Diceros bicornis minor: one gene and its partners. The protein of the gene in region 2 interacts with the protein of the main gene of each other region in a pairwise test. Links are inferred from orthologs where the notes say so. Each region holds a gene or a part of one and is shown on either strand. Other genes may lie near its edges.

The links.
Region 1: the proteins of LEMD3 (region 2) and SMAD1 interact in binary tests that used the Homo sapiens proteins (3 or more experiments, as listed by UniProt). The link is inferred for Diceros bicornis minor from reciprocal best matches to the Homo sapiens genes LEMD3 and SMAD1.
Region 3: the proteins of LEMD3 (region 2) and SMAD9 interact in binary tests that used the Homo sapiens proteins (3 or more experiments, as listed by UniProt). The link is inferred for Diceros bicornis minor from reciprocal best matches to the Homo sapiens genes LEMD3 and SMAD9.

The regions. Positions count from the first base shown.
Region 1 is NC_080750.1:34,664,175-34,671,313, forward strand, and holds the start of SMAD1 (mothers against decapentaplegic homolog 1), read left to right. Parts: upstream 1-4,133; 5' UTR 4,134-4,380; intron 4,381-5,204; exon of another isoform or gene 5,205-5,546; intron 5,547-7,139. UniProt on the Homo sapiens protein: Transcriptional modulator that plays a role in various cellular processes, including embryonic development, cell differentiation, and tissue homeostasis.
Region 2 is NC_080756.1:5,486,339-5,493,507, reverse strand, and holds the start of LEMD3 (inner nuclear membrane protein Man1), read left to right. Parts: upstream 1-4,123; 5' UTR 4,124-4,141; coding exon 4,142-5,657; intron 5,658-7,169.
Region 3 is NC_080748.1:19,317,744-19,325,447, reverse strand, and holds the start of SMAD9 (mothers against decapentaplegic homolog 9), read left to right. Parts: upstream 1-4,619; 5' UTR 4,620-4,715; intron 4,716-7,704. UniProt on the Homo sapiens protein: Transcriptional modulator activated by BMP (bone morphogenetic proteins) type 1 receptor kinase. SMAD9 is a receptor-regulated SMAD (R-SMAD).

The DNA of each region.
Region 1 (7,139 bases), on a different chromosome or scaffold from region 2:
TTTTTCCATTGATTAGAACCATCTCTCAAAATAAATTTTGGGGTTCACATTTTGAACCTATAAAATTTGCAGCCAATTTTAAGGGTTCTCCTTATTGTAAATGATTAGTAGTTGATTTTTTTGACAAATGGTTAATTTGTCAAATTAATTTGAAGCGTAATTAATTTGCCTTCGGTTCCTTGATACCTTCTTTTCTCTGAGAATCTTGTCCTCCTCCCTACCTCAGCCATCCACTTTATCTGGTCACACTGCTAGATCTTGGCATTATGCAAAATTGTCCCAGTTCCATGATTTCAATTTCAAGCGTCCTGTTCTCAGACCGTTCCCCAGCTTTTGGGAGGGGTTCCCAACTGAAGCAGTTCTTGGATCCCACTGGGACCTTCTATCCATCCATCTTATCACCTTTCCATCACCCCCCACTTCTTTATGTCCTCACCTTCCTCCTTATCCCAGTCCCCCCACAGTCACTCCCTTGCCTACACCCTCTGCTCTCTGACCCTCTTTCCTTCCATCACACCCACTTGCAAAACCCCAGCTCTGCCCCCTTAGGCTGACCGAGGCTAGAGAAAAATCCACAGCCGTGCTGACCGGTCTTGCTTTAAATTCATAACCACTAACCTCAAATGGGCACGTAATAGCACTGCCTGGCTATCCTACTACATTTCCGTAGCTCATGTGCTCTCAAACTCTCCCAGAAGATAACTGTTTGATATCCACTCCTTTCTCTTCCAACCTGCAACGTCTCTTCTACACTCACCATTCTCAGGAAGTAGGGTCCGTGGCTATTTCATCAAGCTAACAGAAGCAGAGAGAAGACAATGTCCCTCTGTTCCCACCTCTGCAGCCACCAGCCTGTGCGCACCTGGACCCACACACTGCCTTCCCTCCTGCAGTCGGCTCCTCCCTGCGTCAGTGCACTGGCCTTCTGGTTCTTCTGTGAATGGGTGAAGACGACTCAACTTCAAGGTCCTTGCACTTGTTCTTCCCTCTGCTTGGGAGGTTGGAAATCCTCCCCTGATCATGTAGCATGCTCTCTGTCTTCATTCAGGATCTCTTCTCAGTGACGTTTTCCCTACCCCTATAGAAATAGCAGCCTCTCCCATTCGCAATCCCTCTTACTTTGCTGTTTCCATCCCGTGTACACCACCTAGCATACTTGTGTATTTATTCATTATTCGTCTTCCTTGATGAGAGTGGGGACTTTTATCTGTTTTGTTTGCCACCATATCCCCTGTGACTTGAACAGTGTTTGATTCATTCATTCACTCATTCATTCATTCAACAGGTGTTTAGTGAGCTATTAGGTGCCAGACACTGCTCTAGGCACTGAGAGGTTAGCAATGAACAGAACAGACCTACACTTTTGGCTAAGTAGAAAAAGAATAATAGAACAGAATAATAGAATTAATAGAAATAATAAAATAATAATAGAAATAATAGAAAATATAAAAATCCTGCACTTTTGGCTAAGTAGTTAGGTAGTGATAAGTGAAACATCCATACAACACAGGGGAAGGAAGAGGATATAAAAAGTATGTGTTTGGGAGTGGTATGGGCGGGGGGATGTTAGATTTTAGGTAGAGTGGCCAGGGTAGGCCTCATCCAGAGGGGAACCCTTGAGGGAAGACCTGAGGGAGGTTAGGCAGAGGGCCATGTGCACATCTTGGGAAAGGCTTTCCAGGGAGGAACAGCTGGTGCAGAGGTCCTGAAGTGAGAGTATGCCCAGGTTGTTCCAGGATTTGTGAGGAGGCCAGGGTGACTTAAGGAAGTGAGCAAGAGAGAGAGTAGGTCAGAGTGGTAACGGAGGGCAGGGAGGAAGGATCGTGTAGACTCTTGTCCACATTGTGAGAACTTTTATTTTGAGTGAAATGGGAAGTCAAGGGAAAAATTTTTTTTGATATAATGATAATAATATACAACCCAGGGCCGGCCCAGTGGCTTAGCGGTTAAGTGAGCGTGCTCCGCTTTGGTGGCCCGGGTTCAGATCCTGGGCGCGCACCGACGCACCGCTTCTCCAGCCATGCTGAGGCTGCGTCCCATATACAGCAACTAGAAGGCTGTGCAACTACGACATACAACTACATACTGGGCATTGGGGGAAAAAAACAGAAGGAGGATTGGCAATAGATGTTAGCCCAGAGCCGGTCTTCCTCAGCAAAAATAGGAGGATTAGCATGGATGTTAGCTCAGGGCTGATCCTCCTCACAAAAGAAAAAAAAAAAATACAACCCACATTCCAGTTTTCACAATTGTCCCAATAATGTCCTCTTTTAAAAAGTCCAATTTTTTTTATTACTATTTAAAGAAATAATTTGCACAAGGGGCAAAAATCAAATTTCATAGCTTGCATAGTATTAATAATGATCATTTGTAGCTACGAGGACTGCACTAAGAAAGGTCACCTATAGGTTAAAAAAATTAACAGTTTTATAATGTCATTTTATAGCTTTTCCACTCAATCCTGGATCCAATCAAGGATAGTACACTACTTTTAGTTGTCATACCTTTTTTTAACAGCTTTATTGAAATAAAATTCACAGACCATATATTCACCCATTTAAAGTGTACGATTCAATGGCTTTTAGTATATCCACAGAGTCGTGCAACAATCACCACAAACTAATTTCAGAACATTTTCGTCACCCCAAAAAAGAAACCCCATAACCTTTAGCTATCCCCCTAACCTCCCCATTCTCCCAAACATAGGTAACCACCATTCTACTTTCTATCTCTACAGATTTGCCTATTCTGGATATTTTATATAAATGGAAGCATACAATTTGTGGTCTTTTGTGTCTGGCTTCTTTCTCTAAGCATTATGATTTCAAGGTTCATCCATGTAGCATGTGTCAGTACTTCTTTTCTTTTTATGACTGAATGATGTTCCCTTGTATGGATAGAGCACATTCCACTTACCAAGGGAAGGTTTTGAGCAGAAGAATGACCTGATCTGAGTGGCATTTAACAAGGCTTACTCCAGCTGTCGGGAGCAGAGAATGATGAACTGTGTCAATGCTGCTTTTAGGGAAAATAAGATGAGGCTCAACAATTGACCAGGAAGTGCTCAAATAGCTTAACAAAGAAATTAACAGAAATACTCTGATCTATAATTGGTATTTCATGTGTTTTATGGGATTTGTTGCATTTCCTTTGAATAATTAAACATGGAATGCAGAAATAAAATAATTAATAAACAAGAATTTAAATGGAATGTGGACATGTAAACATACAGGAACAATTGGAGAGTACCATTAGTTTACAGAGGTCTTTGATGTTTTCTTTATATTAGTGGTAATGATTCTTTTGGTTCATGTGAAATTTACTCCTCAGAATAATTATTTGTCTCTAAACATAACTCAACATTATGGTAATTATCCAAGATTTCATGCCAGGTTCCAGGGAGCTGGCCAGGAGAAAATGTAATTCTTACAAAAATATATTTTCACCGTCTATGCAGATCAGGTAGAGAAGAGCTAGTCTGTTTTTAATTTGAGGGGTTGGTGTCATCTAAAAGATTGCAGAAATTGGATAAGAAATTTAGAGTTCTATTGTGGCATCTGTCATTATTTTGAGCAACGAAGTTACCTACTCGACTCAGATCCCAAATTGGCGCACAACCCATGTATTGATTCAGGGTTTGGTATAAGCACATGCAATAGTTACTAGCTATTCAATTCTGGGTACGTGCAACTTCTGGGGCTTGCAAATCACTGGGGAGTGAGTGAGGGGCAATGAAAACGAGACATAAAAAGGCGAGGCTCGAAAGACAATTGTCAAAAATGCGCTCCACGTTTGTAGTACGGTTCGGTGGGCGCGGTGGACGTGCTGATGAACATTCCAGATAATAAACACTGAGCACAGAACTTCCCTCGCAGATAATGCACCAAGTCCGCTCCACCGGGACTAAAGGAGGCAGGGGGAGGAAAGTCGGAACGCGCGGAGTTGTTTTTGCTCGTTGGAATAAATTGGGCGTGGGGCTGGGGGCGGGGGAGGTGGCTCGGGCCGCTCGCCCGCGCCGTCCTCAGGCCCCGCTGCGCTGGCCGGGCCGGGAATTTGGAGAGGATCCCTGGTCGCGCGGCGGCGGCGGCGCGCGGGTGCGCGTGTGAGCGGGCGGGCGGGCGAGTGCGCCGGGTATTGGCAGCCGAGGAGTGGAGGCTGGGCGGCTCCGACTCCCTGACGCCAGCGCGACCAGATCAATCCAGGCTCCGGGAGCGAGCGGGCGGAGGAAGGAGAGGCCGAGCGGCTCAGCGCGGGCCGAGGCGCAGGGAGGGACCCTGCGAGCGCAGCGCGGCGCAGCGCCCGGCGGGCCAGCCCGGGGCCGCGGGACCCCGCTCGCCCCGCCACTCGTGCCCCTGCGCGGACGGGCGCGCCGCCAACCCGGTAAAACGAAACAGACCCGAAACCAACTTTCCTTCTGCCGCGTCCCCGCCCTCCCCTCGGCTCCCCCGGCTTCCCAGCGCCGCCGCCTCCGCTGCGGCGGGCGCGGGCCCGCAGGGCTGCCGCGGCCGTGCGGCGCCGGGGGCGCGGGCTGCGGCCGGGAGGGTGCTCTTCCCCGTGCGGGGCGGACCGGGACCCCCCCCCCCATGATGGCGCCTCCGGCCGCTCGGATGAGCGAACCTGCCACCTTCTCCACCCCTCGCGCCCAGCCCGCCCGGCAGGGCTCGGCCGGGGTTCCCCGCGCGTCTTTGTTGGGTCTGCGGTGGGGAAGCCGCGTTCCTCGGCCCCGGCCCTGCCCGCGGCGGGACCTCCCGGGTCCCCTCCCCCTCCGCCCGCGCCCCGTTTCTCTTTCCGTTTCTGCAGCCGGCCCGAGGCCCGTCCGCGCGGCCCGCGGGCCCATTGTGTCCCGCGCCGGCCCGGGCCACTCTTGCGGGCGCCGGAGGGCGGCTGTCGGCGCGGCTCGGGACGCGCTCGGCGCCGCGCGGAGCGGGTCCCGCACGAGCGGGACACCTGGTGCCCTGGGCCCCTCCGCGTCCCCGACGGGTCCCCTTCTCTGCCCCAACGAGCCTCTTGGGGGTGGAGGTCAAGGAGAGTTCGCACTGAAATTCCCTCTAATTTATTCAAAGGTTTGGCGGCGGCGGCGGGTAATTTTTTTTTTTTTTCCCCTCTTCCGCCTACACCCCCCTCCGTCTCCAAGTGTCGTCTCATTCCTTTCCCTTGACCGGATTCGATTGCCTCACTGCATGTGCATTTGTGAGCTCGCGGTTGAACAAGTGTTCCTTGACTCGGCTCCCTGTCTTTGTTAGTGTTTCTCGGGGTTGTTTCTGTAGGGAGGTGGGGGTGGTGGGTGTGAGCGAGACAGACGTGGGCTTGTTTTTCTGGTTGCTTGATATATATGAAGGCTTCCTGGGAAAGCGTTTCCTTGATGGACTTTAGGAGGGAGGAGGAACAAATGCCTGCCGGATCGTACAACTACAGTAGCCGCGGCTTTTGTTTATTTTGAGGCGCAGACGATTTTTAAATACACGGTGCAAGATAACCAGTAAGGCGCTTCCCTTCTGAAAATCGAGGCGCATCTCAGAACCATCTCCTGAGAAAGCATCGTTTTCGTGAGTGCTGTGACAACGAGCCTTTTTCTTTCCCCATATGTCCTCCTCTTTCCATTGTATCTGAAGTTTCAACGTCTGTGAAATGATACAGAAGTTGCATGATTTCTGTATGTCTTCCTCTTGCTGAAACTTAGCAGCTAAATCACAGAATGCCTTAATTTCAGAACATTTCTCGCTCTAATTGCCTGTCGTGGAGAGCATGCCTGCGTTCAGAAACACAATGAGAAAACTGTTCTCTGCCTGTGTTGATTTTTCATCTTGTTCATAATTACCACTTTACGTTTTATTGGAGGTAGGTGAGGTGTGTTGGAACCACTGTTTAAAAAGAATGGAGGCAGAATCACTGTTCACTGCCCCAGCGTTTTCAATTAGTGTAAATATTTTGCATCATTGTTATTCTGAGGTAGGTGCCAGGCCTAAATATGCTGTACTGATTAAAGTACTTTTCCTCCCCCCTCCCTTCCACCCTCTTTTCCATTTGCAGTTATTTGATATTTCTGTGCAGGTGGTGCACATTTGTGTAATATTGCAATTCTTAGGAAACTGTAACCAGGGTCGTGAGAGATGATTTTTCTAGAGGTGGGTGATGCCAGAGCCTCTGGAGGATCCAGGCAGGATCAGGTTTCTTCTGAGGGTAGGGATTTGTCCTTCATTTAGTTCTGACTCCTCCAACCATAGGTATGTAACTAAATACATTTTTCCTTTTTGCAGTATCCTTTGGTTTTATACCCTTGATGAGCTGATGACCTTTGCATTTTAGAGAAATGACAATTTTCAGGCAATTAAAAATGTTAACCTCTTACACCTCTTGGAATTTAATTAATTTTTGCTACCTAAGTTCATTAAAGCATTAAAAGGAAGTAAGTCTCATTTTCCCAAATACATCTATTAGTTAAAAACTAAATTTCAGTTTGTAATTTTGATTTCTAGTAATCCTGGGTTAAAGGTAAAATTTAATAACAGATTGTAAAAAGAATAAACTTGAGTGTAATTAGACGAGTATATTTTAGCTGCAGTCGCCTACACAATCAAGGCCAAGTTGTGTGTGTATAAAAGATCTCATTTGTATAGTCTTACAAGGCTAATGGAGGCATCATTGGGGTTTATAAATAATGTAAGTTGTGTATAATGTAGAGTCTCCAGAGACGGCAGAGAAAGCATCATTACCAGCCTTTTCAACCTGCTTGAGATCTTAAATTGATTTACGGCACTGAACTGGTGCAAAATGATACATCAGGATGACATGGGGTCAGCCTGTAAAAGTCTATGATGTCAGCCTATTAGTTCAGTCATCATAATTAAACCATATTACAGGGGCAGCTAAGCAGGAGTCTGGCGTTATACTTCAGATATGGGTGGTACATAGTTTTTGTTTATAGTGGAAAAGCTGAACTCGCTGGGAATGATAGTGTTTCTAAAAGAGGAGAAGGCTTACAGAACTCTGAATTTTTCAAAAAAAATTGAAGATAAACTCAGAGATGTTCAGTCTGCATTGTCTAAATAGCTTTCCATTTGGTAGTGGAGAAACAGATGCTCTGGGGGTGCTGATAAGGACCTTTGCAGCTCTGATGCGTGTCCTGAACCATGCTTCAT
Region 2 (7,169 bases):
GTAAAACACAAAAACTAATAAAACCCACCCCTTGGATTGTCAGAAGAATTATATGGTATTCCCAAAATAATTAAAAGGCAGCTAAAAAGACGTATATCATATTAGGAAGATAAAATAAAATTAAAATCATTTTAAAAAATGAGGCACATGAATATAAAGTTAGAAAATTTAGATGGAGTCAGCAATGAGATTAATTTATAAAATATATGCTATGGAGCTAAACACTTGCTATGGCTAGGCCACAAATTTGAGTCTGAACTTCCTAGCTGTCTCCTCAAAGAGGGAAACATGGCAAGTCACCAAACCAACAGTGCCATCCATAAGGTTAAAAACAAATTAGTAGTTTGGTGACTCCTCAAAAAGTTAAACACAGAATTACCATATAATCTGAAATTCATAGGTACATACCCCAAATAATTGAAAACAAGTATTCAAACAGATACTTGTACACCAATGTTCACAGCAGCATTAGTCACAACAACCAAAAGGTAGAAACACCCAAAATATCTATCAACAGATGAAGAGATAAACAAAATGTGGTATAACTATGCAATGAAGCGTTATTCAGCCATAAAAAGAAATGAAATACTAATACATTCTACATTATGGATGAACCTCAGAAACATTATGCTAAGTGAAAGGAGTCAGACACAAAAGGTCACATACCGTATGATTCCGTTTATATGAAATATCCAGAATAGTTAAATCCATGGAGACAGAAAGTAGATTAGTGGTTTCCAGGGGCTGGAGAGAGGGAGAAATAGGGAATGTCTGCTTAATGGGTACAGAGTCTCCTTTTGGAGTGATGAAAATGTTTTAGAACTAGATAGAGGTGATGGTTGCACAATATTGTAAATATACTAAATGCTACTAATTGTACACTTTTAAATGGTTAATTTTATGTTATGTGAATTTCATCTCAATAAAAAATAAAACAAAGCAAAACCAAAGCAAAACCAAAACAAATGAGTTGTCTGGAAAAGTGCAACTATTTCTAATAGTGAGACCAGAAAGGACATTTTTTAAGGGAAAGAACCCTCAGCAAAATTTTTATTTGAACATAATGTTGGGTTTCATATCATTCTTTAGAAGGTCCTTCAATACGAGCTGGTGTCATCACTATGAAGGGTAATATGGTGAAAGGTATTTTACTGGGAACTGGGGGAAGTACAGGGTTAGGAATGTGGCCCAAGGTACACTGGTCTCTGATGAGCAGGCTTAAGGCAGAGATGAAATTAAAAACATCTAGAGGAAGAGATGAACCGCCTATCCTTCTAAAATCCATAGTAAATGTTTCCCTTAGTCAAATGTTTGGAAGCTCTAGAGCAGGAGTCAGTTTGGGATTGCATTCCCTCTCAAGCATTTGGGTGCAGTTTGCCAATCTAGAGCCTCATGCTTTCAAGTTAGCCAATCTGGAAGCAGGAATAAGATCCATTGGTAATGAGGAGAATGCTGGGAGTGAGCAGTGACAGAGCTGAGACAGTGAAGGTTCTCCTGAGGAAGTGCTGGGTCTGCTCAAACACCCAAACAAGGGTCATTACAACCCCACACAGTTCCATGCAATAAATCACACCCTCAATATCTTCAAGGAGGAAGAGTTTCTTATAGACAACAGGAGGCCATTTATATAAAAGCTCTTTGTAAAGTGTAAATTTTATATCAATTGTAGTTTTCATTGTTATTAATATCTGGCTATAATACCTAACATGTAAACAACAGATGTGAACAGCATTTTCACATACCAAATTCATTTATCATTCTCAACAAATACTTATTGGATATTAATTGTGTGCCAAGGAGGGTAGACAATATTATCAACATTTTAGAAAAGAATAAGTTAAGGTTTTGAGAGCCTAAGATTTGCCCTAAGTCATATGACTTGGAGACTCAAGAACTTTAGTTCCTAGGTCATTCCAAACCTTGCTGCCCCCAAGAGCTGAAATGACCAAGGACTAAGGTGGCCAAGCCCTTCATCTTCATTAACTATTAAATGTGATTATTGAATGCCTTGGGCAAAGTTTTACCACTTCCATATCTTTCTGTACAGGGGTATTTTCTTGAACTGCTCTTACATGGAGTTCTCAGGAGCCACGCTACCAAGCACACACAATGCTCGGCTTTACACTACTGGCCCACATTTAGTGAGTGCACATTGTGTGTTAGGCATGGTGCTAAGCATTATGCAGACATATTCTCATTTAACCCTTAAAATAGCCTGCTGAGGAAGGTTTATCATCCCTCTTTTGTTTATACAGAAACTAAGGCTCAGAAAGAGTAAACACCTTGCCCAAAGTCACAGGCAGAAAGACAAATGGTCTGACAATCCTTATAGGAAGATATTTAAAGGTTCATGAAAATCAGAGGCTGAACCAATAGACTTCTATGATTCCTACCTGAAGAACCAGTAGGGTGTGGAACAAATATTGAACTAAGAGTAAATGTAAGAGACAGGGCTGGGTCCACATCCAGTTTTGTTTAACTCCAAAGCTCACAGCTTAACCACCCTGCTATACTAAGACACAGGTCCAGTAAGTTTGTAATCATTTGATTTCCCACCCAGAAAATTATGGTAATAAATTCTGTGTCATTATCATCATAGTGGCTAAAATGGACTGTGCCAAACAGTCTTAAGTGCTTAACAGTCATAGATTCAGGAACATCTGTAGATTTTAAAGTCTCCTGATAAGGACAAGGAAGTGACCCTCCACATAAAAGTTTTTTTGAGATGGCAAGCTTTTGCTACGAGAAGTCGAAAATTCAAGTTACTGAGTATTACTGTGCTGTTGGACTCAGGATGTTGAAAAGCTGGTATCTATGCTTCTGATTAACATTTGTTTTGGTTCAGATGTGTAAAATGCAATAGGGTAAAACAATTCATTCGACAAAAAATTATTATAATGTGCCAGATATCATGCTAGGTGCCACCGTGTAGCTGCTACGGTTTAAGTACTGAAGAAGTGTCAGCTCTGCCAGGGGTTGAGGAAAAGGGAAGCCACCTTTACCAAATTGGGCAAGTTTCACCTCTCTGGGATTCATTTCCTATTCTGTAAAGGAGGGGGTTGGCTATCCAGGTCTCAAATGTCTCCGGTTTTTTGACTTTGTGTGAAGGCTTCTCCTCCTCCTCTGCACTATTCCCATGTCAAAATATTCAACTCATACCATCCTAGCTCTGCAATTCATTGCAATGTGGGAGTGAAGTAGGGAATAACAGAAGCAAGGCTCCTCTGCTCAGGGAGCGGACAGTTCAAAGGAATAAGACAATAAATAATTAAGTAAATATTATCATTTAAAAAATACATAAAAAGTCATTAACAATTAATAATTAAATAAATAACTGTAGGTTGGAAAGGTGCTAAGAAGGAAATAAGTAGCATGGCTTGTCTTTTTTTCATAGAACGAAGCAAATGAGAAGGCTCTTTCAATTACAAGAATGACAACCTATCGAGGTCATCAGATTTAAAAAAGGGAAAAAATGATCATACCTTACAACCAACTAAAGAATGACTAGCCATTCCTCTTGAAGAAAACTGTGTTGGGACTGGTGTATCTACTCCGTCTCTTTCTCTTGGAATGGAAGTGGAGAGGCTTCTCAAAAAGAGCAGCGAGAGAAACTCACTTTTTTTTGTTTGTAAGTCAAGCGGAAAGACAACGTGAAAAGAGAGAACCAGGAGTCAGCCAGGGATTGCCAATCTAGTCTGGCCCTCAGGGTTTCTTTGAGTCTCTCCGGGCTCCCTCGGCAGCGGGAATCTGGATGGAAAGAAAGCGAATGCCGTGAACTTCAAGGCAGATTTCCTTTCAGTGCCCGGTGGCAGGAGGCCGGGAAGAAGAGGTCAAGGTGTGGTTTAGCGAGAGGCAGCTCGGGGGGAAGGCGCAGGGCAGGACAGGGCAGCGCAGAGACCGCAGCAGACGGCGACAGCACGGAGGGGGCACGCGCCGGCCCCAGGTGAGCGCGCAGACCGCCGCCCGGCCGCGGGCGCCGCGCGCCGCTCAGGTGGCGCTTCCCGCTCAGGTGAGCTCCTCCCGCCCTCCCATTGGCCGAGGCGCCGGGCGCCGGGAGGGCGACGCAGCCGGTCTAGTTCAGGGTCTAGGGCGGCGCGTCACTTCCGGGAGCGCGGAGCTTGTAAAACACCCTGGAGAGAAAATGGCGGCGGCAGCGGCTTCGGCGCCTCAGCAGCTCTCGGATGAGGAGCTTTTCTCGCAGCTCCGCCGTTACGGCCTGTCTCCGGGCCCCGTGACGGAGAGCACGCGCCCGGTCTACCTCAAGAAGCTGAAGAAGCTTCGCGAGGAGGAGCAGCAGCAGCACCGGCCCGGGGGCCGCGGCAGCAAGACGCGGAACAGCAATAACAATAACACGGCCGCCGCCACGGGCGCCGCCGCGGGACCGGCGGGGGCGGCGGGGCTGGGGGGCCGGCCGGGGGCGGGCGACCTCTCCTACCTGCGGACTGCGGGCGGCCTGGGCCGGGCCGCGGCCTCGGGCCCCGAGAGCCCCCTGGGAGGGGGAGGGCCCGGGGCCGCCGCGGCCGCCCCCACGGCCGGCAGCAAAGTGCTGCTGGGCTTCAGCTCGGACGAGTCGGACGCCGAGGCCAGTCCCCGGGACCAGGCCGGCGGCGGCGGCGGCAGGCGAGACCGGGCTGCGCTCCAGCCGCGCGCGCTCCGGCCGCCGGCGGCGCCGCTGGCCGCCAGCGAGGGGACCAGCAGCAGCCCGGCTGAGCGCAGGAAGCCCCACTCGTGGTGGGGGGCGCGGAGGCCGGCGGCGCCCGAGACCCCGGCGGGGCGGGACGGGGCCGCGGAGGGCGAGGGCGGGGAGGGCGAGGACGGCGGGGACCGGGACGCCGAGGCCGAGCAGCCGCCGTGGGCGAGCCGCGCCGTGAACGGCAGCCGGCTTCTCCCCTACAGCTGCCGGGAGAACTACTCGGACTCGGAGGAGGAGGACGACGACGACGTGGCCGCGGCCAGGCAGGTGCTGAAGGACGACTCCCTGTCCCGGCCCCGGCCCCGACGGAGCCACGGCAAGCCTCTGTCCCCGCCGCCGGCCAGAGCCGCCGGCGGCCGCGCGGAGCCCTCCGCTCCGGGAGGGGGAGGAATCGCGATGAATGACAGGGCGGCGGCCGCCGGCGGTCTAGACAGGGGCCGGAGCCTCGAGGAGGCGGCGGCGGAGCAGGGAGGAGGGTGTGATCCGCTGGACGCCAGCCCCGTTCCTCGATTCCGTGTCAACGCCAAGAAGCTGGCCCCTCTCCTGCCCCCGCCGCTGGCGGACGTGGACTCCACCTTGGATTCCTCCACGGGCTCCCTGCTCAAAACCAATAATCATATCGGCGGGGGGGCCTTCGGCGTGGACTCCCCCAGGATTTTTTCCAACAGCCTCCCTCCCAGTGCGGCGGCGGCCGCCCCGAGTTCACTCAGGATCAATCACTCCAATCACACGGGCTCGAATCACACCTACCTGAAAAACACCTACAGCAAACCGAAGCTGTCCGAACCCGAGGAGGAACTTCTCCAGCAATTTAAACGCGAGGAGGTGTCCCCGACGGGGGGTTTCAGTGCCCACTACTTGTCGATGTTTCTCTTGACTGCTGCCTGCTTGTTCTTTCTAATACTGGGACTGACTTACCTAGGAATGAGAGGGACAGGAGCATCCGAGGATGGAGGACTCAGCAGTAAGTATTAACCCCCGGGTAAGGTAACAAAGGGCGGGGTGCGAGGGGTCCTCTCTAAGCGCACTTGGCATTTTACATGCGGTGACTTCTGTCTGCAGGGACCTGTGAGAATAGTGAAACGCAACAGATGGAGTGTATTTGGGTCATCTTTCCTTAAGAAAGAACATTATTACCATTGTCAGAAGGACGATCCCATGGCTGGTTTTTAAAGTTTTTCTGTATGATGTATTGGGAAATTGAAAACATCTTGTAAAGGAACAAAGTATTACAAGCCTGTTAGTAAAATGCATTTATGTGTGTGACTTAAAGTTTCTTTTAGCCTTAAATAACTAGATGTGCAGATGCCAATTAACAGTTTCGAAATACTTTGATTGTTAAGGGGCAACATAAATGCAGTGTTTTTTCAAATTGACTTGTGACACTAAAAGGAAATGTAAGATCTCTTGAAATTTTGGTTAAATATTTTGTAGTGTTAAGTGTACATGTAGGTAGTTCTGTAATTTCTTTAAAGTGAATGAATATAGAAAGGAAGGCACACCTCTAAATTGATTTCCCAGCCCAAAGCACCTCACCTCCCACCAGTGAAACAAGTAGTGGTTGGGCAGTGCAGCAGTTTGCAGTCAGATTTATCTGAATTGGTTTCCAGGCCCTGCCATTGACTTGCTAGAGGGCTCTAGGCAGGTGTGTTCATTCATTCATTAAGGCAGCAGCATTTATGCTGAGCATACAGCAGTGATGGCTCAGAGTCTCTCTGTCCTTCAGCACAAGAGGAAGATGAATACAGATCATTTTGTGTTCTGTGAAGGAAGCAAGGATGGAGTGATTGGTGTATACTGCTTTAGAGATGCTAAGAGTAGGTACTGTTTGAGATGAGAACTGCAGCAGAAGGAGACAGCCTTGTAGCGAGACAGGAGAGCATTCTGGGCAGAGATTATAAGAAGAAAGGCCTTCAGTTGAGCAGGAGTCTTGCTGTGGGTTAGAGTGGTTAGAGCACCATGAGCGGGGGGGGGGGTGGGGGGGGGTGGGGGTGGTGAGCGAGAGTTTGAGCTTCCCTTTCCTCATCTGTAAAATGATGCTGATATTGATCAGAGTGATGCCTGTCAAGATTAAAGAGAGAAAGTAAATTTAGTGGGTGATGGACTGCTGAACACATAACTTCTCAATATGTCCCTCTCCCCACTTGCCCTGAAACTTCCTACCTTTTTCACCCAACGTGAATTCACTGTGTCATTTGTATTTGTAAAATTGGCTTACTGTTATTAATTTTATTTCAAAATAGCTAATGATGCAGTTAGCAGACTTAGCTAAAGAGTAGGAGTCAAAATAGTGTAAGCTTTGATTTGGATATAACCAATTCTAAGATAGTCAAATAATAGATTATTACTGTATTGCTTAATTAGAGGGGTTAAAGAGGACTGAAATCCAGCACTCACTTTAATTGGTACCCTGGGAGCAAGAGTGATATGTTGTGTCCTGCTCCAAATATTTGGGAGAAAAAAGGAATGAGGTCAC
Region 3 (7,704 bases), on a different chromosome or scaffold from region 2:
AAAAAATGGGCAAAGGACTTGAATAAACAATTCTCCAAAGAAGATATACAAATGGCTAACAAGCATATGAAAAGATAGTCAATGTCACTAATAGTGAGAGCAATGGAAATGAAAATCACAATGAGATATCAGCTCACACCCATTAGGATGATCTCTATCGAAAGAACAGAAAATAACAAATGTTGGCGACGACGCAGAGAAACTGGAACCCTTGTGCACTGTTGGTGGGAATGTAAAATGGTGCAGCCATAAGGAAAACAATATGGAGGTTCCTCAAAAAATTAAAAATACAAGTACCATATGATCCAGCAGTCCACTTCTGGGTATAAGTCCAAAAGAATTCAAAGCAGGATCTCAAAGAGATATTTGCACACTCATCTTCATTGCAGCATTATTCATGATAACTAGGAGATGGAATTTAACTAAAATAATAAAGATGTATTTCAAATTTTTTTTTAAATGAGGATTAAGAAAGCTCACTGAATTATTCATTGAAGGGTTACTGGTGACCTCTAAGAACGTTGGAATAGCACTGAAATCAAATAGTGCAGATGGAAGGCAGAAGCCAGACTTGGGGAAATTAGGAAGGGGTGGGTAGTAAGGAAGAGGAGACAAATATCAACCATGCATTGTGAAGTTTGACAGTGGAGTAAAGGACAAATACCGTATGGACTGGGGGGAGAATTTTGTTCACCCAAGTTAAATAAGCTCCGACTTGATTGAAGTAATGACCTGAGTTATTGTCTCTATGTTACAGAAAAAAGAGAGATGCTGAAATGGACTAGAGGGCACAATTCAGAGGTTGCAAATTGCCACTCAAATTTGGCTCAAATATGTTTTCTTTGGCTTGTGTCTTTAAAAAACAAATTGGGTTAGTTAGCAAAATTTTTTAATTATAAGATTTTTCCATAAAATTCTGGATATCTGTTACCCCTTGAAATTACGTCCCCATTCTCACACGGCAACAACTGGCTGGAGCTGCGTACCAGGAGTTCCCTTCAGAAGGGAATGTGCTCTCCAGTCCCCACTCCTCCTTATTCTATCTCACCTGGCCAACTTTATATTGACAGTTCCAGGCTGGTCCAAGCTGGTATTGTTTGCAATCCCGGTTACACAGTAAGGTGAGCTTGTGAGGGGAGAGGCAAGATAAGCAATAGAATTGTGAGTTATCTTTTTACCTCTGGGACCACTCCTTGGTCTTTCTTTAAGGCTCCACTTCTTCCTTCCCCTTCCTGAATCAGTGTGATCTCACTCCTCTGTTCTTTGTCCATAATTTCTTCATCAAGGATCTCATTCATTCTCATGGCTTCTGCTGTCACCTCTACAGATACATTCCAAATCTACATCTCTCCTCTGATCACCTCCCTGATATTTTTAACTACATACTAAACATTTCATTCATTCAACAAATATTTATTGGGCATCTACATGTGCCAGGCATCGTTCCAGGCTATGGGGATACAGTAGTGGCAAAATGAGCATTTGTATAGAGAGACAGTCAAAACAAACAAATGAATGGTTTATATAAGTTAATGTAGTGATGCCATGAGGGAAAAAAACAGTAAATAAATAGAGATTTGGGGAATAATTGTGGATGAGGGTGAGTTTTTCTTATTTTTTCCCCTCCACAGTCCTGGTAGGGAGAATCTCACAACAGGAGATAGCTGTCACTCTTCACCAAACCAAGATGCTCTATCACTCCCTGTCGCAACCCCAGAGCATTTATTCAGTGATGTCCTGCCTCGTAACATTATTTTTCTTATTTACCCAATTAGTTGGACAGTTCTCTTAGGAACAGTGAGGTGTTCATACTCAAAACCTCAAGGAACTCTGCACATAGTAGGCATTCTGGGCTGCCTTTACAATTGTGCAAGTTGTGTCTGATTCAGAGTGCCTCGCCTGGGGGCTGACATCCAGGCTGCACTGTACTGCGAAACCAGTACTCACAGAGCTGCATCCATCGAGACTGGCGGGGCGGGGTGGGGGGCTTCTTTGGCTATTGAGGCAGTAGGCATTCATACTCACTTCTCAAGGTGTAGCTGAAATTTCCCCTCTGTGGAGACCTCCCTGACACCTCCCCTGTGCCCACACCCTGAAGTGACACATAAAGCTGTACGATAATCGTTGGTGTGTGCGCCTCTCCTAGAGAGACTAAGTTTACTGAGGGCCAGTGTTCCGTGTCCAGAACCTGGTACTCAGGAAAGTGTTCAATAATGGTCATAGAATGAATAATGGCTCTTGAAGGAAAGCTCACGGGGGAGGCAGAAAAATGCAGAGCTAGGACAGAGTTACAGATGAAATGCAGAAGACTAGCATCGGGAGGGGTGTGCAGGCAACAATTCCTAGTTGTGGCTCTGCGTGGAACCATTATAATGCTAGATCAAACATAAGGTACAAGAGATGTACAAAGCTGAATCTTTGCATCTACGGATTACTACAGACTTTGTCACAATCTTGTCCCATGCTGGACATATGACAAGTGAAAAGAACTGAGCCTCTCGTGGGTAAGGAAGCTGCCCTTCCTACTGCTGTTTTACAGCCTGTAGGAGCTCATGTTGCACCAAGTCCTTGTAATTCAGAAAAGGGGAAGCTTAGTTTCACAGTGGTTTTCAGGTCTTGAATCAAAATTTTACTAGAGGTTCCACCAAATCACAACCTGTGACTGAATCTCACCCCTCATATGATTCTCATTACGTAGTTTTTTCGTGGAAGTTCTAACAAGCAGTAAAATTGCAGCCAATCAAGAAATCAAGAGGAAAAAAATAAAGTAGAGAGTCTGGATTTGCTATTACAAGGCGAGTCAGCTCCTGAAAAATGGAGTGTCAACACTGAGCCTTCTTTCCCAGAGCAGGCATTTTCTTCTTTTTGGAACTCACCAGATCTTATTGTTCTTGGGTAAAATAGATTAACTTTCTATACTAGGTTCGAGGAATAAATGATAGCAATTGTATAAGTGACAGGCTAACTTTAGGTGCCAAAATTTCTTGGTATGTAAATGAGAATGTACAGAAAAAGTAGACTATACACGTTCAAAGAATCTGCAAATCCAAGTCCTGCCAAGAGCCAAGAGACTTCTGTGAACTTAAAAAGACTCCATGCCAGAAGCATGAGCCAGCACTGCAGAGGTTATAATTTCTTGCTCTGCGTTGTGTCCTCTGCACTGTCTAATGCCATAAGAGAAGGAAACTGAGATAGTGACGGAGCCATTTCTTTTCTTAATAACATTTTTTAAAAGAAACGTGAGCCACAAGGTATCAGTTCTGAGGACCTAATTAATTTACTTGCAATAAAGTGTGCATCAGGCCCAATCTGTAGCTTTTAGCAGTCCAAATGTTTCCTTGTGTTTCACACCCAGAGCAATCTCAAAGGTAACACCTAGCCTGAAGCAGAGGTAAATGGGCCAGGTGTAGAAAGACGATTTAAATTCGAGTTCAAGGTTCTACTGCAAATGCTGTTTTAAACAAGGTCATTGCTCAACTACAACAGTGTGATAACCCAAAAATGGCTTCTACCATGGGAAGAAAGTGCAGCGCTTTGAGAACTAGAAAAAGCAGTTCAAGTCAAGTTAAATTCTTGCATTTACATTTCAGGGGGAATCCTTTTGGGGGAGAGATTTTTCTATACACAGGAACAAACTGAATACTGTCCTGTGTGGCTTTATTCTACCTTTCACCTCTGTAGTAAATGCCTTTTCTATGAAGAGCTACTGGCTGACGGGGGCTCAAAGGCTATCAGTACGTGGGTGGCATTTCCTAAGCGTATTCTGAGTAGGAGTCCACGGTGACCTCAAAAGGCAGGCTACCTACTGGGCAGCCAGGCTGTGAGCAAGAAGGTTGTATATTAACGTTGCTCAGCGCCCATAACGTTGTATCTTTATTAGATTAGATAATATTATATATTATACGCTAGGCTGTGAAGCAAATAAATGCACGTAGGGATATGACAATTCACATAATTATATAACCTGTTTTAACCCCACTCACCACTCAGGGTGATTAGGTTTTCTTCTGCCTTTGCCAGTGGAAACCAGTTACTCTAGCGCTGTCGATGGGTGTCAGGATCCCTTTACTCTGAAAAGCTTATAAGGTACAAACAGCAGGAAACAGGAACCATCAGGGCTTAGAAACATGTCGGAAGGAGTGGCTCAGAGGGGTTTCCAAACCGATTTGCTGGTCCTGTATCTCCTGTTCTGGTCAGAACCCTCCTTCGGCCTGAGGCTCCAGGTGGAGATGAGGAGGCTCCAGGTGGAGATGAGAAGTCTCAAGGTGGCGGGGAGAGAGAGACGCGAGGTGACTCAGGCTGGCCGGAGCTTCCCCGTCGCGGCCCCCCGAGCGGGCTTGGTCGCGGACCGAGGCGAGCCTGCGGTCTCCAAGAAGACCGAGCGGGCCGCCCGGGCCGGGGGCCACCGCGTGGCGCGCGGCCGCGAGGCGCCCCCGCCGCAAGTTTCCGCGCACGTGGCCGCGGGCGGGCCGCGCTCCCCTCCCCGCGGGCTCCCGAGCGGCCCGGGCGCGCGGCGGCGGGCGGGGGCGGGCCCGCGAGCAGGGCTCCTGGCCGCTTTCCAGGTCGGCGCACTAATACGGGCGATGAGGCTTCGCGGCTCCAGTCTGACTGACGCCGGCTGGGGCCGCCGCCGCCGCCGCCGCTGCAGCCGCTGTCTCGGTCCCCGCCGCAGCCGCCGCCGGGCCCTGCAGCCGCTGGGCGCGCGCAGCCAGGCAGTGAGTGCGCGGCGCTCGGAGCGGGCGGCCCGGGACCCACCGCGGGGGCGGGGGGAGCCAGGCCTGGGGTGGGGGGAGGGATGCGTGGCATCGTGGGGACAGGTAAGAGGTGCCCTCTCCGGCGCGCGCTGGGCGAGTGCGTGCGTGTGTGGCTAAGTTTTTCTTCCGCAAGGGAAGTCTTGGAGGCTCTTGGGCGTGTGGCTTGGTTCTTTGTATTTTTCATACCTCTATTTCTTGGTAGAGCCTGTTTGGGGTGGGCTGGGTGGGCGAGAAGGCGGAGGGGACAGCTGCGGGGAGTTGGCCGCGTGCCCTCCTCACGGCCGCACCCGCCCGGGCTGCCGGCACCTGGGACCTGTCAGAGGATGCTTGTCCCGCGGCGGGGGCGCCGGCCGTGCGCGCTGTGGCCCGGGGCGTGGGCAGGGATGCGCGCTCGCTCTCCGCCCCGGGCTGGGCACCGCGCACCGACGACAGGCGCCGTGGAGACCCGGGCTGGGAGCTGAGTAACCATTTGCTGTGCCGGGGGAGGGCTGGGTGGGGGGACAGTGGAGAAATGGGGGTGGGGGGTAGTAATTGTGACTCAGCTGGCCTCCCTGGCCTCCTATCTCATAGGCTTTTTACTCTGCTTACCTTTGAGGCACGCGAAGTGAGCAAAAAAAAAAAGTTAGGAAGGTTATTCAAGTGTCTCTGGGCTAGCCCTTGGATTGTGTTGGGAGCTGGGATGTTTGTCTTTTCCTTCGCCTGCCGTTCGGTGCCAGCTCTCCGCAGAGGGGAGGGGGGCGAGGTGGGGAACAGATACAGGAGACTAACTGACGCCAGCATTGTGATCGGAAGGAGGAGCGCGGGGGAAACATTTTTATGGATGGCTAATCGCTGACAAGTCTTCCCGTTACTATTCCTTCCTCCTCCCACCCTTGACAGTGGAAATTTGAAATGATAGTTTAGAAATAACTCCGTTGACTTGTTTCTGGGCTGGAACTGGTACTTCTGAGAAATAACCTACAACTGATGGAAATCTAGTTTTGGAATAAAATTGCATGTAAACACTCACAGTCGGATGCACACCCACAGGACACTGTGGATTGCTTTTAATGGATCCAGTTTACCGGTACCTGTTCCATGGCTTGCCAGATTTCTCGGGTGATCTTTTGAAAGTGTAGTTTAGCAGGAATAATAGAGGATAACTGTAAAGTCATAAGGCATTTAATAATGTTACCTCCTTGGCCGTAACTAAGCGGAGTATTTGGGGCATCGTTCTGGGTGTGTGAAATGTTAATATTCCAGGCATATCATCTGCTTTAGGAGTCTTGTCGGTGTGAGGGAGTGCCATTGGAAGCTTACCTGTTAAAAATAGCGATCTATATTTAAAAAGGAAGTAAAAGAAAAACCCAAACACATTCTCCTAACTCCAAATGGACAGTTCATTAAGTGAGTTTCTGTATGCTTGTAGGAAACCATGAAGAAGATTTTGGACCAATTTCAAGTTTGTTGTTATCCAAGAAGGACACTGCAGATAAGAAAATGATGTAATAGTTTATAAATAAGGAGCATTTTAAATATGACAGAAGTTTCAAATAATATATCAGAAAAATAACCTTTAGTGATGATAATTGCCTTCATTGATGGCAAGACAACTGTCTTTAGCAGACAGCCTTCAGCCTCTTAATCTCTTCTGACACAAGCAACTCCCATTTTTATGCTTGACTGGCTATCTTTGTCAGAGTTGTTTTATGCTTCAGCTCTGTGGTTTCAAGCTATGTTTAAGAGAATGTCAACATATTCTTAATCTGAGCAAACTCATTTTTATCAGTACAGTGTTTACTGAAAATCAAAGATATAAACAAATTTTAGGTTAAACCACTAAGTACTTTACAATTCTCACGTCTTTGTCATCAATCTTTTAAACTCAGTATGAGCTCTTTGACTTTTCTCTTTTTAAAATCTTTTCTATCCCAAGTTAATGAGCAATCAAAAAATATTCACAGATGTCAACCACTGCATCTCTGATCGCCCAAGACATGGAAACATGGAATGAGAAAGAAGAGTTTTCGTTTTCTTTTTTTTGCCTAGTGAAACATTGGCAAGGATATCTATAAGTAATAAGCAACTGGTAAATTTGTTTATCCTTTCTGATTGCATGGTCAGTTGGAGGAGAAAAAAAATCTGTTAAGAAATTATTTCGTAGTGATTAAAATATTCAATTTCAGTTTTACAAATAGTTTAATTCTGATTAATGAGAGTGCAATTTCCCTTGCCAAATTGGAGAGATGGTGTTTAATAAGTAGTCACTATAGCACTTAGGCAACTAACTAGTTTATATCTGACATTCTTTCTGCAATAAATAAAACAGCAGTTTCATCATATTCTGCTTTAATGTGTCAGAAATAATACTTATCCACAGAATATATTCTGATTTAAGGGAAGGTAAAGGTTATGGAAAATAAAGTTTTTTTTTAACATGCAGAACATAGTACATTAAATTTTAAAGCTCTAACGAAGCTTAGTGCAGATTTTCTGTGTATTGCTTCTAACATTTAGAGAGGAATTCAGAAACAGGGAAGTGTCCAGAATAAAACAGTAATTGCAGCAGTACATTGAAAGCATGAATCTCTTCAAATAGTTGTAATTCTAGGCTGTTGGATTTATATTTCCTTGGTTACAGTTGCCAGTGAGTTGAAAAGTTATTCTAAAGGGGAAAAAAAGCCAACAGTAAATTCATAAGTAGTTATAACAGTATGAGCGCTTTAGTAATTTTTTTTGTTAACCTAGTGAATGTCCATGTCATGAGTAGGGATATAACAAAAAATAAATACCCCTGGGCAGTAAACTAACCTTTTAAAATAAGTATTCCTATAAATTATGTCTCTTAAGAAATATGTGCTAACTAAAGTTGTTAAGATTTCAAGATAATTGTTAGCATTGGAAGCCATCATACCCCTGAAAGCTGGATGTTAATCTTGCTGGTGGACTGCATCCTGACACGTCCACCCCA